Coturnix japonica: one gene and its partners. The protein of the gene in region 1 purifies or fractionates together with the protein of each later gene. This does not show direct contact. Links are inferred from orthologs where the notes say so. Each region holds a gene or a part of one and is shown in the gene's direction. Other genes may lie near its edges.

What was found. Proteins that work in one complex are often made in the same cells at the same time.
Region 2: the proteins of LARP7 (region 1) and CDK9 purify together in Homo sapiens (affinity purification with mass spectrometry; 15 studies listed by BioGRID and IntAct, counting the BioPlex papers as one, with this or other methods). This does not show direct contact. The link is inferred for Coturnix japonica from reciprocal best matches to the Homo sapiens genes LARP7 and CDK9.
Region 3: the proteins of LARP7 (region 1) and NAT10 purify together in Homo sapiens (affinity purification with mass spectrometry; 3 studies listed by BioGRID and IntAct, with this or other methods). This does not show direct contact. The link is inferred for Coturnix japonica from reciprocal best matches to the Homo sapiens genes LARP7 and NAT10.

What each region holds. Positions count from the first base shown.
Region 1 is NC_029519.1:51,170,546-51,175,112, reverse strand, and holds the start of LARP7 (la-related protein 7), read left to right. Parts: upstream 1-1,250; 5' UTR 1,251-1,343; intron 1,344-3,475; 5' UTR 3,476-3,476; coding exon 3,477-3,684; intron 3,685-4,567. UniProt on the Homo sapiens protein: RNA-binding protein that specifically binds distinct small nuclear RNA (snRNAs) and regulates their processing and function.
Region 2 is NC_029532.1:3,652,000-3,656,908, reverse strand, and holds the start of CDK9 (cyclin-dependent kinase 9), read left to right. Parts: upstream 1-1,798; 5' UTR 1,799-1,841; coding exon 1,842-1,933; intron 1,934-2,238; coding exon 2,239-2,320; intron 2,321-2,742; coding exon 2,743-2,833; intron 2,834-4,687; coding exon 4,688-4,854; intron 4,855-4,909. Other genes in the region: SH2D3C (SH2 domain-containing protein 3C), read right to left, coding at 960-999. UniProt on the Homo sapiens protein: Protein kinase involved in the regulation of transcription.
Region 3 is NC_029520.1:6,323,831-6,328,722, reverse strand, and holds the start of NAT10 (RNA cytidine acetyltransferase), read left to right. Parts: upstream 1-1,781; 5' UTR 1,782-1,922; coding exon 1,923-2,030; intron 2,031-2,974; coding exon 2,975-3,066; intron 3,067-3,720; coding exon 3,721-3,892; intron 3,893-4,182; coding exon 4,183-4,305; intron 4,306-4,890; coding exon 4,891-4,892. UniProt on the Homo sapiens protein: RNA cytidine acetyltransferase that catalyzes the formation of N(4)-acetylcytidine (ac4C) modification on mRNAs, 18S rRNA and tRNAs.

The sequences.
Region 1 (4,567 bases):
AAATAAAAGATACCTGGGATTTTATAAACATACTCTCCAAATATTGTCCTTTCTCATCAAACAAGATCGCCTGCAAAGAAAAATAAATGGAATTGAAGAAAAAAAAACCACACAAAAAAAAACCAATTTTGCTTTACAGGTGGTTGAAATGGCCACTGATTGCCTAGCAGATGATTTCAATGTAAAGACACTCACCTTATTTTCTCCAGGTCTAATCCTCAGAACTCCATCTTGCCACGTTTTGGATTTTTTCATTTTCTGGTGAGTGTACAACACCTGGTTTCAAAGGGCAAAACGTTGAAACAACCATAAACGTAAAGAAAAACATTTTAAATAACACATCAGTGTCGTTTCATTGATTTTATATTTAGTGGCGTAGCGTTAAAAAACTTACAGTAAATTCTTGAGAAGCCATTGCCTTGGCTTAATTCTACTCAGAAGTCAACTTCACATTTCATAAGCAGAACGGCCCTTCAGCAGCTTATTGCACAAAGACTTCACGCAACCTGAGGAACACACAGAATCACACAATGATCGGGTTGGAAAGGACCTCAAGGGATCAGTGTCAGTTCCAACCCCCTGCTGGCAGTGGCCCACCAAACATAGCACATTTACTAGATCAGGTTGCCCAGGCCCGTCCAAGCTGGCCTTGAAAACTCCAAGGGGGGCATGCCACAACTCCCTGGGCACCTTTCCAGGACCTAACCACTCTCCTAGAACAGAAGAAGGCTCAGCATAAAACACTGTTTATTAAAGCCAGAAACCGTTAACAGAAGAACGTTGTCACCGCTTCACCGGCTCCCAGCCGGCGGGCCGGCCATGCGTGCTCAACTGACAGGCAGTCCGCCCCCACAGCTGCGCCCCGACGTGCTGACAGTGACAGCACAGCAACACCGCCCTAAGGAGATGGGCAAGCGCTCCGTCAGCCCCACAAGCAGCGATATAAGGCCGAGAGACCCACGCACACGCGTGACCCAGCGCGTTACGTACCCCCACACACGGCCCGAAGGCGGCCCACAGCTCAAGCTCCCCCCACACACACACACACACACCTTGAGCGGCCCGACCCGTCCCGCCGCGCTCCGAACTTCCCGCCACAGCGCGTGACGTCACCACGCAACGACGGCGCCGAGAGAAATCACGTGCTCCTCGCCAGGCGCGGCCTCTCCAAACACTTCCCGGCGTCATGCGCGCCGTCCGCCACCGGGCGGTGCTTTGCTCTCCGCCGGGGCCGCCCGTCGTGACGGCTGTCGGGCAGGGCACGGAGAACAGGGCGGCTGTGAGAGAGGCGGGGGGTGGCACGGGGTACACGGGGTACACGAGGTGACGCCGCCCCGCGACAGGTCAGTAGGGAGAGGCGGGGGTCACCATTGGGGGCGGGGGCAAGTGAAAAGGGGGCGGTGCCGCCGTGCTGTGGGTGGGGGGCGCGTGTAAGGGTGGCGGTTGTGGGCATCACCTCAGCGCGGGCGCCGCTCGTCCTTAAGAGAGAGCCGTAGTTGGAGCATAGGCGGCTGCACCGCCCTGGAAATAGGGCTGCTGAGTGCTATAACGGCTGAAAAGAGCTGCCCTGGTCACGCAGGAACGGGGTGCGAGGGGAGGAGTGTAACAAGTGCCCCGTCCTTGGAGGTGTTCAGAGCCAGTTGGGACGGGGCCCTGGGCAACCTGATCTAGTAAATGTGTATGTTTGGTGGCCCTGCCAGGCAGGGGGGTTGAAACTACATGATCCTTGAGGTCCCTTCCAGCCCGGGTGATTCTGTGGTAAGAAATGAGTTAAAAGAGGTACAGCTCTTCCTTTATGCCAAGCAAAGAATGCCCAAGGCAGTCTGCAATGTACATCTCTGAAAGCAGAGGTGTGCTGAATTTTATCCACAAGACAAAAAAACTTAACGTTTGTTTTGTCCAGAAGAGAAATTATTGTCATTTACTGTATGGAAACATAGCATAAGGTTTCATATGATCCCTCCTTCTCCTATCTTCATATTTAAGTGCTTACAGTAAGCAAGCGAGCTTTGATATCAATGCTCGATATCACAGAGCACTAAAGCAGCGCCTAAAAGTGGGTATGGGAGAGGAGGAGGAGCAAAACAGAACAGATTACAGCTTGTGCCTGTTGGTGTTTCCTGAGTGACTAGAAATACATGAAATGCTTTAGATGGGTTTTTAAAATAAAGCTTTGCCGTTCATAAGTCATATTCGTTATGTGTTAGCGGGGTCATAAAATACTGTTCAACTAAAGAAAGTGTCCTGTAATGGTGGAACTCACTGTAGCTTTCAGCTAAGCGGTGTGCTAGTAATTAATGTAAGTTGCTGAAGGGCTCGAATGTAGCTTGAACTTCAGTTGGGAGAGTTCTACCTGGTTTATCTCTCCAAGATAATTGCCCTTTCGCTGTTCTGAGTGGTCAGCTCACAGCGGGGAGAGAAACTGATCCCCGGCTGAGGAGCCACATTTGCACAATAATTTGAAGACTATTTCCATTGTTGCCCTGTTGCAGATGTCAGCTTCCTCGCTGATGGCTGTACTTGTGCTTCCTTACGAGCTGAGGAGTCTTTCAAATGATGATTTCCATATTAATCGCTTTATTTTTTGTGTTAATTTTATTTCTAAAAGCTGTCTGCTTTTGCCGGTATTGCTTTGTTTGGCTTGAGTAAAGCGCTGTGGTGACTGGCATTTTCTTCTAGGATGACTGTATACCTCCAGTGAGCTGAAACACCAGACAAAAAAAAAACCTGAATTGATGTACCTAGAAGTTTTGACCTCAAAGATCATCAAATTCAACCACATCCCAGCTATATTACCCTAATTCTAACTACCCTCTGCTAAATCATATCCCTGAGCACCACATCCAAACGGTTCTTAAACACATCCAGGGATGGCGATTCAACCACCTCCCTGGGGAGCCTATTCCAGTGAGATTTATTGGATATTTATATTTATTTTTAGGAGGGCAAAGATCTACTTGAAGATGGGTTTTGTGAACTCCCTTTAACAGGTTGTTTCCTTCTCTGCTAACGAGGAATTTGACTTATTGAAGGATGCTTAATTACCTCCACAAGTACTTCTAGTAATTCAGTAACATTAGTTAATAGCCTTGCTTTTCTGACAGTGCATGTTTCCTTAGTAATCTTAATGGGGAGAGCAGGCTGCTCGTGAAGCTTTCTGGATTAACACGGTAGCACAGATTTTCAATGGAAAGCCTGTGGTTTGGTACCAACCTGTCTGCAGTGAATTGCTATGGCTGGAGGGCATTGCAAGGAGCTGTGAGACTTAGGTTTCAGCATAGCCTTCTCTGTACTTAATATTTTTCAACATTACTCAGTACTGAATGGTACATGTTTTTGTAGGGCATGCGTAAAGTTAAGCTCCTTTTCATGTGATAAAGTTTCTGAAAATAACTGTATGGGATTACAGTGTTTGTTCCATACTGTAACAGTACTTTGATTTTCTTAAATGTTATATTTAACTTTTGATTGGCAGAATGACGGGAATGGAGACTGAAGCTGCAAGAGACAAAGCCATGGAAGAGGAAAGCACTGAACAGAAGAAAGAGAGGGAGAAAAAGAAGAGGTCAAGGGTGAAGCAGGTGCTTGCAGACATAGCTAAACAGGTGGATTTCTGGTTTGGCGATGTTAATCTCCACAAAGATAGATTTCTTCGAGAGCAAATAGAAAAGTCCAGAGATGGATGTAAGTTTATATTAATGGCATGTCAGTAAACAGATATGATTTGAATTTTCTTCTTTGCTATATTGCAGGTGATGTTACAATTTATTTTTAGGTGCATGCTTGCTTGTCTAGAAGAAAGCAGTTGTATATGAGCTTGTTAATAGTTCTTTGAATCTGTACGCATTTATTTTGCTTTCCTCTACTAATAGCTGTAGAAGTAAGTTAGAGGCATCTGCAACAGTTGTAGTGACTGTTTAAGAGACCTGAATTGATGATTTTATTATTATTAATATAATCAACAGCATAAGCAAGCAAACATGGGTTACTGTTTTCCATAGACGTACAGTACTTGAATTGTAGGGTAGCTGTATACAGGTATGAAAATGTCACTTCCTTTTGCAGTTTTATATTCTTTCTTCCTCTTGCTTGGACAGATTTGATATGTGAGAGATTGTGCATTTGCTTTTACTGGGGCTTTTATAGGTCTCTTTCCTACTGGCCATTTTTGACATGGTTCATTTGAATTCAGGTTAGGAGATAGAGCTTGGTTTTGGAACTACTCAGCTCATCCTGAAGCAGAAGTTAGTTTACACATTAGCTGCACTAACAATTATGCTTTTTGCTTTAAGAATAGTAAATTTGTGGTTAAGATGATCTATCAGTATATTTGCTCAATTGTGTTACTCCAGATGGATTATATCAGTTGTGCTGTATCTATAGAGACAGACAGTCCTTTTCCAGCAAAAGAAATAATGCATTTCAGATTCCATAAGTGTGTTCTTTGTTTTCTTAAGGATTCCATACTTGAAGTATAAATCATTAGCCCATCAGTGTTGTGTGGGAAGTCTATATCACTTGTCAGAGTCCTCAATTGCATTGAACTTCCAAGTTGTTTTTTAAAGAG
Region 2 (4,909 bases), on another chromosome or scaffold:
AATGCTGCAGCAGTACCTTGCTAGGAGCCTGGGTGCTGAGGGCCCATGTCCTGCACAGTCTGCAGGGTGCCCCTGCTGCCAAATGGGGCTGCAGAAACCCAGAAGCACTCCTGCATAGCCAAAACCTCATGACCTGGACTCTGTTAATGACAAAACTGCTTCAGGTTAAACATCCCCTCTGCATCCGAGCATCCTCTGCATCTGAGGCTGCTGCAGGGTGGGAAAGCTGGGGGCCTTCCCCATTTCCCCCGCATTCCACCACAATGGAAAATCCCAGCTTGGCCGGGGCCGTGGGAGATGGGTTTTGCTCAGCTCCCGGGGGAGCTCAGGGGTCGGCCTCCCTCCGGCGCCGGCATCAGCATGATGGAGGCAGAGGAATGCGGGGAGCAGCAGTGAAGGCAATGTCCTGCTCAGTGCAGCGCTGGCGGCGTGCAGCCCCATGGAGCCTCCTCCGAGGGCTTTGGGGAAAACCCGAGGGCTGTGAGAAAGAGCTCAGCTCCCTCCTGGTGGGCAGCAGCACTTCCTCTGTGCTCAGCTCCCACCGCTTCGGTCCCGAGCGCGGCTCCATCAGTGCAGATTTATCCCCAGCATCCACCCCATCCCTCTGCTGCAGGAGCACACAGAGGGCTCCTGGACACCACCAGCCCCAGCCATGCAGAGGGGTAAATGCTCCCTGAAAGCTGTGATTTGGGGGATCAGAGCAATGGTTCACCCCTGTCACATGCTGGCAACCAGTGCAAGCAGACTGCTCCCAGTCCAACCCCAGCACCAGAGCCATCAGCACCAGGGTTTGCTCCAGCTGTGGGGATGGAAGCCCCCAGAGCCCCCAGTTTCCTAACAAAACTGAAGACTTCTTGCTAATGAGAGGTGACCACGCTCACACTCACACACCCCCTTCCCACCCACGCCAGCCCAGGTGAGCACCCAGCACCCACCCCCTCCATCCCGATACGACTTACTGAATTTCTTGAAGCCCCCTCGTTTCTGGCCCTCAGCCATGGCTGTGCTGGGTGGAGGCTGCAGGGACAAGTTTATAAACTTGAAGCCTGTCCCTGCCTGCTCCTCCCTTCCTGTCCCCCCTCCGCCTCTCGCTTTGCTCTCTCAATCACTCAGCGCTTCCTCCTCGCTGCTGCCATCTGCTCTTATGGCAGCTGCTGTCCCCGCTATCCCCTGCGGTCCCATCCCTTATTGTCCCTGTGCTCCCATCCCTTATTGTCCCTTCAGTCCCATCCCCTGTTGTCCCTGCACTCCCATCCCTTGTGATCCCTGCACTCCCATCCCATATTGTCCCTGCAGTCCCATCCCTTGCTGTCCCTGTGCTCCCATCCCTTGTGATCCTTGCAGTCCCATCCCTTGTTGTCCCTACAGTCCCCTCCTGGCTGCTCAGGTGCCATTAATGGGATTAATGTGCTTTAGGGCCGCCCTTGAATGGCTGGGTGCCGGCATGGGGCAGGCTGGCAGCTCCATGGCTGGAGGTCCCCATATGGGGCTCAGCTCCATGGTGGAGCCCCAAGGCCCCACTGCACCATGTGCTGGTGGAGCTGTGTTGTCTGTGGGGTCATTTCTATGGGGGATGCAGTGGCCCAGAGCTGGTGGGCAGCCCCAGGGCCTTGTCCTATGGAGTGTCCCTGTATGGCCACGGCCCTTCCTATGTGGGTGACACTGTGAGGGAGGGAACGCGGGCACACAGCTATAGACAGCCATAAAGCCGCAGGGTGATACGGGTTTATCCGGGGTGACAACATGGCGGCCTAAGGTGGACTACAAATCCCAGCAGGCAGCGCGCCGGCGCGCCGGAAATAGCGTAAGGCGAGAGGGCGGAAGTGAAGCCGTCGGCCGGCATGGCCAAGCAGTACGACATGGTGGAGTGCCCGTTCTGCGATGAGGTGTCCAAGTACGAGAAGCTCGCCAAGATCGGGCAGGGCACGTTCGGGTGAGCGCTGCGGGCCTCGGCTCTGCTCCCAGCCCGGGCATGGCTCCTATGGGGCCGATTATCTGCTGTTATTCAGCGTCATGGGGAACAGGCCGCGGCCTGACCCGGGGCCTTTGTGCTGTGGGGGCTGCGGGCCTCGGCCTCCTCCTTATGGGGCTCATGGGGCCTTGTTGTTGTTACATGGGTCTCTCCGTGTTGTTATATGGGTCCTTGTTGTTGTTACGTGGGTCCTTGTTGTTACGTGGGTCTCTCCGTGTTGTTATATGGGTCCTTGTTGTTACATGGGTCTCTTCTTGTTGTTACAGGGAGGTGTTCAAAGCCAAACACCGGCAGACGGGGAAAAAGGTGGCGCTGAAGAAGGTGCTGATGGAGAACGAGAAGGAGGGGGTAGGTGTGAGCTGTGCTGTGCTATGGAGGGGATGGGGTGGGGGGTGGGCTATGGAACATCAGTGTGTATTAACTTTAATGGTGTTTACTGCTGTAACGTGCCAGGTCTTGAGTAACAGCACACAGCACATGGGGGTGGGGTGGTTGTGCTGTGGGTCAATTGGGGCTTTGCCATGTGCTGTGCTCATAGATGGGAAAGGAGGGCAGGTGTCCATGTCACACAAACACCTCCACCTTGTGGCAGAATCCTAAGGGTGGCCAATGAGTTTTGTCGCCCCTGTAATGTTTTGTAGTTTCAATTACTCTTAAATGAGCTGTTGCAGTGCTACTCAAGCAGGTGTCCTGTGCTGCAGCAGTCCAATCTCTCCTGTTCTATAAGCAGATGTGAGCTGCACTCCTAACCTGTGTCTTCTCCTTTCCAGTTCCCCATCACAGCTCTGCGAGAGATTAAAATCCTCCAGCTGCTGAAGCATGAGAATGTGGTGAACCTCATAGAAATCTGTAGGACCAAAGGTAGCTGCCGGGGTCTCATTTGTGCTGTGCTGAGGGGGTGTCTGTTTTCAGCCTTTGTTCTTGGCTCAGCAGGCTGCTGTGTTGCACTGGGGGTGGATCCTCCAGCTGAGCATGTGTTTAATCTGGGGTGACCACACGCTCATCTGTGGAAACTCATTTTGAATGAGTGCTACTGTGCTGCAGCTTGGCTGGAAAAAGCTGTTGTCAGTGCTGCTGGCACATGCCTGTGCTGTCTCAGTGACTGCTGTCTGTGTGCTGGCTGAATGGCTTTAAATGAACCTGCAGCAGGAGAGAATGTGAAACAGAACGTTTTCTGCCTGGTGGTGGTTTTGCAGCTTTATGATGCTGATGCCATTGGGAGCAGGAGCCGTGTTTCTGCAGCTCGTGGAGCTTTGTGCTGGTGACAGCTCCAGCTGGAGACTTGCTCAGCCTCTCCTGTGCATGACAGAACCCCCCAGGCTTTGAGGGCTGGATTGGAAGTGCTGCCACTTCACAGTGAGCAATTCAGTTGCTCTGTGCTGAGCTGCTGTTCCATCTCATCGCTGCAGGCAGTCCCTGGGGGAGGCAGCACGTCTCTGCTGTGTGACTGATGTGCTTAATGCACCTGGCCAGGCTCAGTTTCCAGGGAAATCATTTTAAAGCATTTCCTCATTTTTATATATCCTTCTCTTATATGGATTTGTACTGCAAAAGAGGTTTGGAAAGCGACAGATGATATTAAAGCCTGCCATGCTGTAGTCAGTTCTTTTTGGTTAAATACAATTGATAATAGCACCTTTCTGCTGCTGTTTTTTACACTCAACTGGTAGGAATCTCAGGCCTAGGTCTGGGAACTTGGTGTTGCTCCATAGAATGTAGGTAACTGTCGGTTTTTGAACCAGTAGGTAGGAGGAAAAACACTGAGTTAATGTTTAATTCTTGGATTGATTAAACCAGCTGTGATGACTGCATGCTGCTGGCACGTCTCAGGTCAATATTTTTGTAGCTGTGTCAGATTGTTTGGGTCTTGTTTAAATTCTACTTTTCTACCTTGACCTCAGATTCAAGTGAAAAACAGAAACATTTCATTGACTGTTCTCAGACTTTAAGCTTTTCTCTTTTTATGTTGGAAGAGGGGTTGTGAGGACGGCACCACTGTCATGTGCAATCTAGAAAGCATCCTCCAGGCTGCATTTACTGTGCAGGCTGAGCTTAGCCCACATTTTCTGGTTCTTGCTGCTGATCAGCAGGTTTTGCTGTGCACAGCTGATCAAAATCAGCCTTTTGTTTTGGTGTTTTGCACGTGTGCTCTAGGAGCAAGATTGAAATTGATTGCTTCATTTGAGGTTTCCTGTCATTGACCATAAATTGCAATTGAAGTTGGGGTTTTAAATCATATTGATCTGCATCAGTCTGTTCTCATAGACACCATTTGAGGTTGCAGTAAACTTCACTTTCTGATGTTGCTTTAGAAATATTTGCTGTATTCCTGTGAGTCTGTCTTTGCCTGTTCCTCCTCTAATGCTGATGCAATGATTGTGCTCGGCTGTCAGCTGTGTGTGTGCACCCACGGGCTGCAGTTTGTAGGCACAAAACCCCACAGCTGTTAATACACGCAGCACAACACACAAATGAAGCTTTCAAAGACTTTTTTGCTCTTGCTTTGCCTTTCTCATGATGTTCACTACCACTCTGATCCTCATCCACTGTTGCTTGTTTTGCTGTTTTAATACCTCTTTTTGAAGGCTCTTGAGGCATCTGGAGTCCCTGTTTTGATGTTCCTCTGCCGTGAGGTTTCACCTAGTGAGTGAGGATGGATGGAGGTCAGGAGGAACTAAATCCCTTGCTGACTGTTCCTCTTTGCCTCTCCTGTAGCCTCTCCATACAACCGCTGCAAGGGCAGTATCTACCTGGTGTTTGACTTCTGTGAGCACGACCTGGCTGGACTTCTCAGCAACACCCACGTCAAGTTCACGCTCTCAGAGATCAAGAAAGTTATGCAGATGCTATTGAATGGACTTTATTACATCCATAGGAACAAGGTAATGGGCCAGATCTGTGCTGTGGGCTGAGGTGTCGTAGTACAGGTTGGAGGGA
Region 3 (4,892 bases), on another chromosome or scaffold:
GCAAATATTCAAAGTGTGATAATAACAAATAATAAACAAAAACTTCCTGTGATTAACTGCAGATAGGGCAAAAACTTCGTAATCCAGCAGAATAAGGTAAATGATCAGAAGATTTTTGACCTTCCTGGTCTTTATTTGAAGGTCTGGCAGTAGCCGAGCCAGGTAGCTGATTTCTTCTTTTTAAACCATTTCTTTGCAATTATTATTCCTCAGAAATGCTTATCTGAGATGCAGATGTTAAGCATCAGTGGGCAAAACTGTGCTGTAATCTTCTGATTTCTCCTTATCTCAAGTCTGCTGTAGGTAATAAGGGACGTGAAGAAGCTGCTCGTTAAGTTCTGTGAAAGACCATCGGAGTCACACTTTGAAAGCTAAAGCTCCTTCCTCTTGTCCATGCAAAACTCATCTTGAATGAACTTTTTGAGGACTATAAAGATAGGAATTCGTAGATGGAGATGAGGTTTGCAATTAAATGAACAGAACTGCCTCAGTCTTTCAGATCCGCGTACCTTATTGTTACAGTGTTCCATCTGCCTTCTGTGTAGAACAATGAAGGCATTTAATCAGCTGAGCTGACACCATCAGTTCTGCAGATAAGATGGGTAGTTATCTTTTACCTCTGAGTGACCTGAAAATCAGTGCTTTGTTTGAGCTGCAAGCAAGAAGTCCTAAACAAGAAAGTTTTCCTTCTGGGCTTCAAGAGATAGTGGTTTTCTTTTTAAAACTTAAGCTTAAATATAGTTATGATCATCTTCTAGAAAATGCCTTGCAAAACTGCTTTGGGATCCTTGTAATTCTTTCTGTAAATCATAAGGCTACCTTATTCCATCGCAACATCAGAAACTAAGCGTGCAATTAGTCTTATACTAATGTCACATTCCTTACGTTCAGCTGCAGGATTAAGCACAAGAAGCTTTTACGTTACCTTTGGGAATATTCCGTTCTTTAATGTGAGATCAGCACACTCTATGCTCATGAAGAAAGGTAATGACTTAAACTCCTTTTGTTTGGCCGTGATGATTTTTTCAGAGGGGGAGGGAGAAGGTCCTTCAAGCTGTCCCAGCTGCAACTATTTGCATTTTGTGGCATATTAAATGTTTTTCATCCCAATCAGCACATCTTAAAGGATGCAAAGAGGATGTTTACTGTTAGCACTGCACCTGGCTGTTTGGGGATTGATATTGCATTCAAATAATCTAATTTAAGCATTAGGGAATGTAACCTGAGGGGAAAGCTGTAAGTGGGCTTTTAATGAAGCTTGAAGACTATACCTGAAAGAAAGCTCTGACCCTCATCTATTTATATAAAGATTTAGAGGCAGCATCTTGGATTTCTGTCTCTTTCTACATAATTTCATAATCTGGGTATGTTGGATTTCAGGTGTGGTATCACAGAGCCTCTGATAAGAAACTAATTTCCTAAATGGCTTATCTAGGAGGTGCTGTTCTATTTGTTTTCTTAGGCTTTTTAATATGATGTGATCAGTGTTGTTTGTGATTCTGTAGGTCTAGCCTTAATGGAAGCAAGGAAAATAGTTTCCCATATTCACATCTTAAAGCCAACTGGAGCAGTGCTATAGAGAACTGTATTAGCAATATGCTGTTCTAACTCAACAGTAATGCTTGTTTGGGGTGAGACTGATGAGTATCAGCTCTTAATAGGATAACAGCTGCACCAGAAGTCATGTTCCTTCAGCCCCCATCCCCCTTTATTCCTTCGCCCCGCGCTGAGGGAGCCGCCGCTGTCAGGCGCTCTCCGGGGCAGCCTCTCCTCGAGGTCCTTCCTGAGCGGCGTCGCTCTCGCCCTGCGCCGCGCGGCTCCCACGTGTGTTGGGGGCAGCTCCGCGGGCGCTGCTTGTGGAACCGGCGGTTTCGGCCGGGACACGGAGTGAGGGGAGAAGGGCCGAGAGCTCGGACGGCAACATGCAGCGCCGCAAGGTGGACAACCGCATCCGGGTGCTGATCGAGAACGGGGTGGCCGAGCGGCAGAGGGGCCTCTTCGTGGTGGTAGGTGACCGCGGCAAGGACCAGGTGAGCAATGAGCAGGGACGCCTCCGCTTGATGAGGTGCTCACAGCACTTCTATCCTGGCCTTTGGTGTCCGGAAAGCAAATGGGATCCTGGGGCTCCATCAGGAGAGGGGTGGTCAGCAGGGATAGGGAGCTGATTGTCCCTCTCTACTCTGCTCTTGTGAGGCCCCATCTGGAGTACTGTGTCCAGGTGTGGAGCCCTCAGTACAAAAAAGACATGGAGATTTTGGAAAGGGTCCAGAGGAGGGCCACAAAGATGATCAGGGGGATGGAGCACCTCCCCTATGAGGACAGGCTGAGGGAGTTGGGTTTGTTCAGCCTGGAGAAGAGAAGGTTGCGGGGTGACCTCATTGCAGCCTTTCAGTACCTGAAGGGAACTTACTGCCAGGAGGGGAGTAAACTCTAAAGGGCTGACAATAACAGGACTAGGGGAAATGGTTTTAAGTTAAAAGAGGGAAGATTTAGGTTGGATGTTAGGGGGAAGTTCTTCACTAGGAGAGTGGTTAGGCCCTGGAACAGGCTGCCCAGGGAGGTTGTGGATGCCCCGTCTTTGGAGGTGTTCAAGACCAGGTTGGATGGGGCCCTGGGCAACCTGATCTAGTAAATGTGTATGTTTGGTGGCCCTGCCAGGCAGGGGGGTTGGAACTACATGATCCTTGAGGTCCCTTCCAACCCGGGTCATTCTGTGTGATTCTGTGTGATGAGGTGCTCAGAGCACATCCATCCTGGCCTTTGGTGTCTACAGGGATGGGGCATCTGCTGTCTCTCTGGGCAACCTGTGCCAGCGCCTCACCGCCCTTACTATAAACATATTCTTCCTTTCATCCACTCTGTTAATTTGAAACCATTTGCCCTTGTCTTGTCTCAGCAGACCCTGCTGAAATGTATGTTGCTCCTTGTTAGCTTATGAATACAATCATGCGTTGATATTTCTGTGTCTTGGCAGGTGGTTATACTGCACCACATGTTGTCCAAAGCAACTGTCAAGGCCAGGCCGTCCGTCCTGTGGTGTTACAAGAAGGAGCTGGGCTTTAGCAGGTAAAGGGGCCTTTTGCATCTCGTGTTGCAGTAGTACTCTGTGTGAAGGGGAAGCTGTGTGGCTGCTCTGCATAGTACGGGCTGATTTGATTATCAGGAGAAACAAGTCTTATTTTTGCAGCAGATACAGGATGCTCAGTTTTCCAGAGCTAAGATTTGGCTTCACTGGTATGGTTGGCATCAGTGCTACGTACTTCTGGTTTCCTTATGTAGTTTCAACACTAACCCTGTTGTCCTGAGCCAATTTCTCCCTCACCTTTCTAATCTCAAACAGCCAAAACTTCAGTGCCTCAGTAGTATGTACAGCTGGGTACAGATGAGGCATTACAGTTGCTTTCATTTCAAAAAGGGGTTTAAAACGTTAGTTCTTAGATTTGCGATCATACTTGAAGTCCAGGCACAAAACTGGGAAGGGTTACTTGAAACTGTGTGATTCCAACCAGATGATTTCTTCCAAAAACAGCTGGTTCAGTGTTGTTTGTGCTGCTCTGGGCCAAAGGCACTGGGGAACATACCCTGAGTACAGTGTTTGTAATGCAAGACTTTTCCTTGGAGCCCGAGCTCTGAATTCCATTTAGACTTGAAACTAGGAATGAGAGCAGAGTCTTCTCAAACCATTTCCCAGAAAAACTTACATGGAGTTTTATTCTCCAGCCACCGGAAGAAGAGAATGAGGCAACTGCAGAAGAAGATTAAAAGTGGAACCTTGAACATAAAAGATGATGATCCTTTCGAATTGTTTATAGCAGCCACAAACATTCGCTACTGCTATTACAATGAAACTCATAAGATCCTTGGTAACACTTTTGGCATGTGTGTGCTTCAGGTAAGGAATTCAGCTTTTTACGTAAAGGATGTTGCACTAGTATTGATTGCTTTGAGTTGAACAGCTGCAGTAATTCTATTTGTTGCTTCTGTTACTTAAGTTTTGATGGCCTTACTTATGAGTTTTGTGGGGGGTCACAGCCTTAGAATTGTAATGGAAAGTTGGTTAATGCAAATGTTAAGTTTAATTCAAACTCTGATAAATGTTTATAGTTCTTCTCTTCTTTTTAGTAGCTGCTATTGCACTTGAGAATTCTAGGCAACTTTAAGGTTTATTTTTTCATTTCCAAGGATTTTGAAGCCTTGACTCCAAACCTGCTGGCTAGAACTGTAGAAACAGTGGAAGGGGGTGGAATTGTAGTAATTCTGCTGAGAACAATGAACTCACTGAAGCAGCTCTATACAATGACCATGGTAAGTTCAATGCAATATGTCTGTTTTACATAGGCAGGTACATTTGGTGATGTTAAGTGCTTAGTTTTTGCTTTTGTTATGGGTTGGAGTCTTCTTTCCATTACTTCTGCTGCTGGTTCTTTCATTTAACCTGGAGTGAGGTTTGTGTTTGTGCAGTTACACCATTCCTTGTGCTGCCAACAAACATAGCTGTGTTTTCTGGCCCAGTGCTAAGTCACCCAGAGCTTCACCATTCCCATGTTTATAATGCCAGTAGGTGAATTAAAGCATTAAATTATTTCTACTTAGCATCTCTGTGCTGCTTTAAATGTTCTGTATGTAGTAGATGTGGCCTTTAAATCAGACAAGAATACGTAAGACTGCACTGAAAAGTCTTGGTGGGAGAAGTATGTTTTTAAAGCAGTATTTGGAATATCTGATTGTCTCAGCAAACAAAGTCAGAATCCAGTCTGGGATGCAGCGCTGATGGAGAGAGTGAATGTAGTCCACAAGGGTGGAAAATAAATGGGATTGTCCCATGAGGTAATAATGTTTTAAGTGTCTCTGCTACTGCTGCTCCTTCTCCAGACTGACTTTTTGTTTCAGGA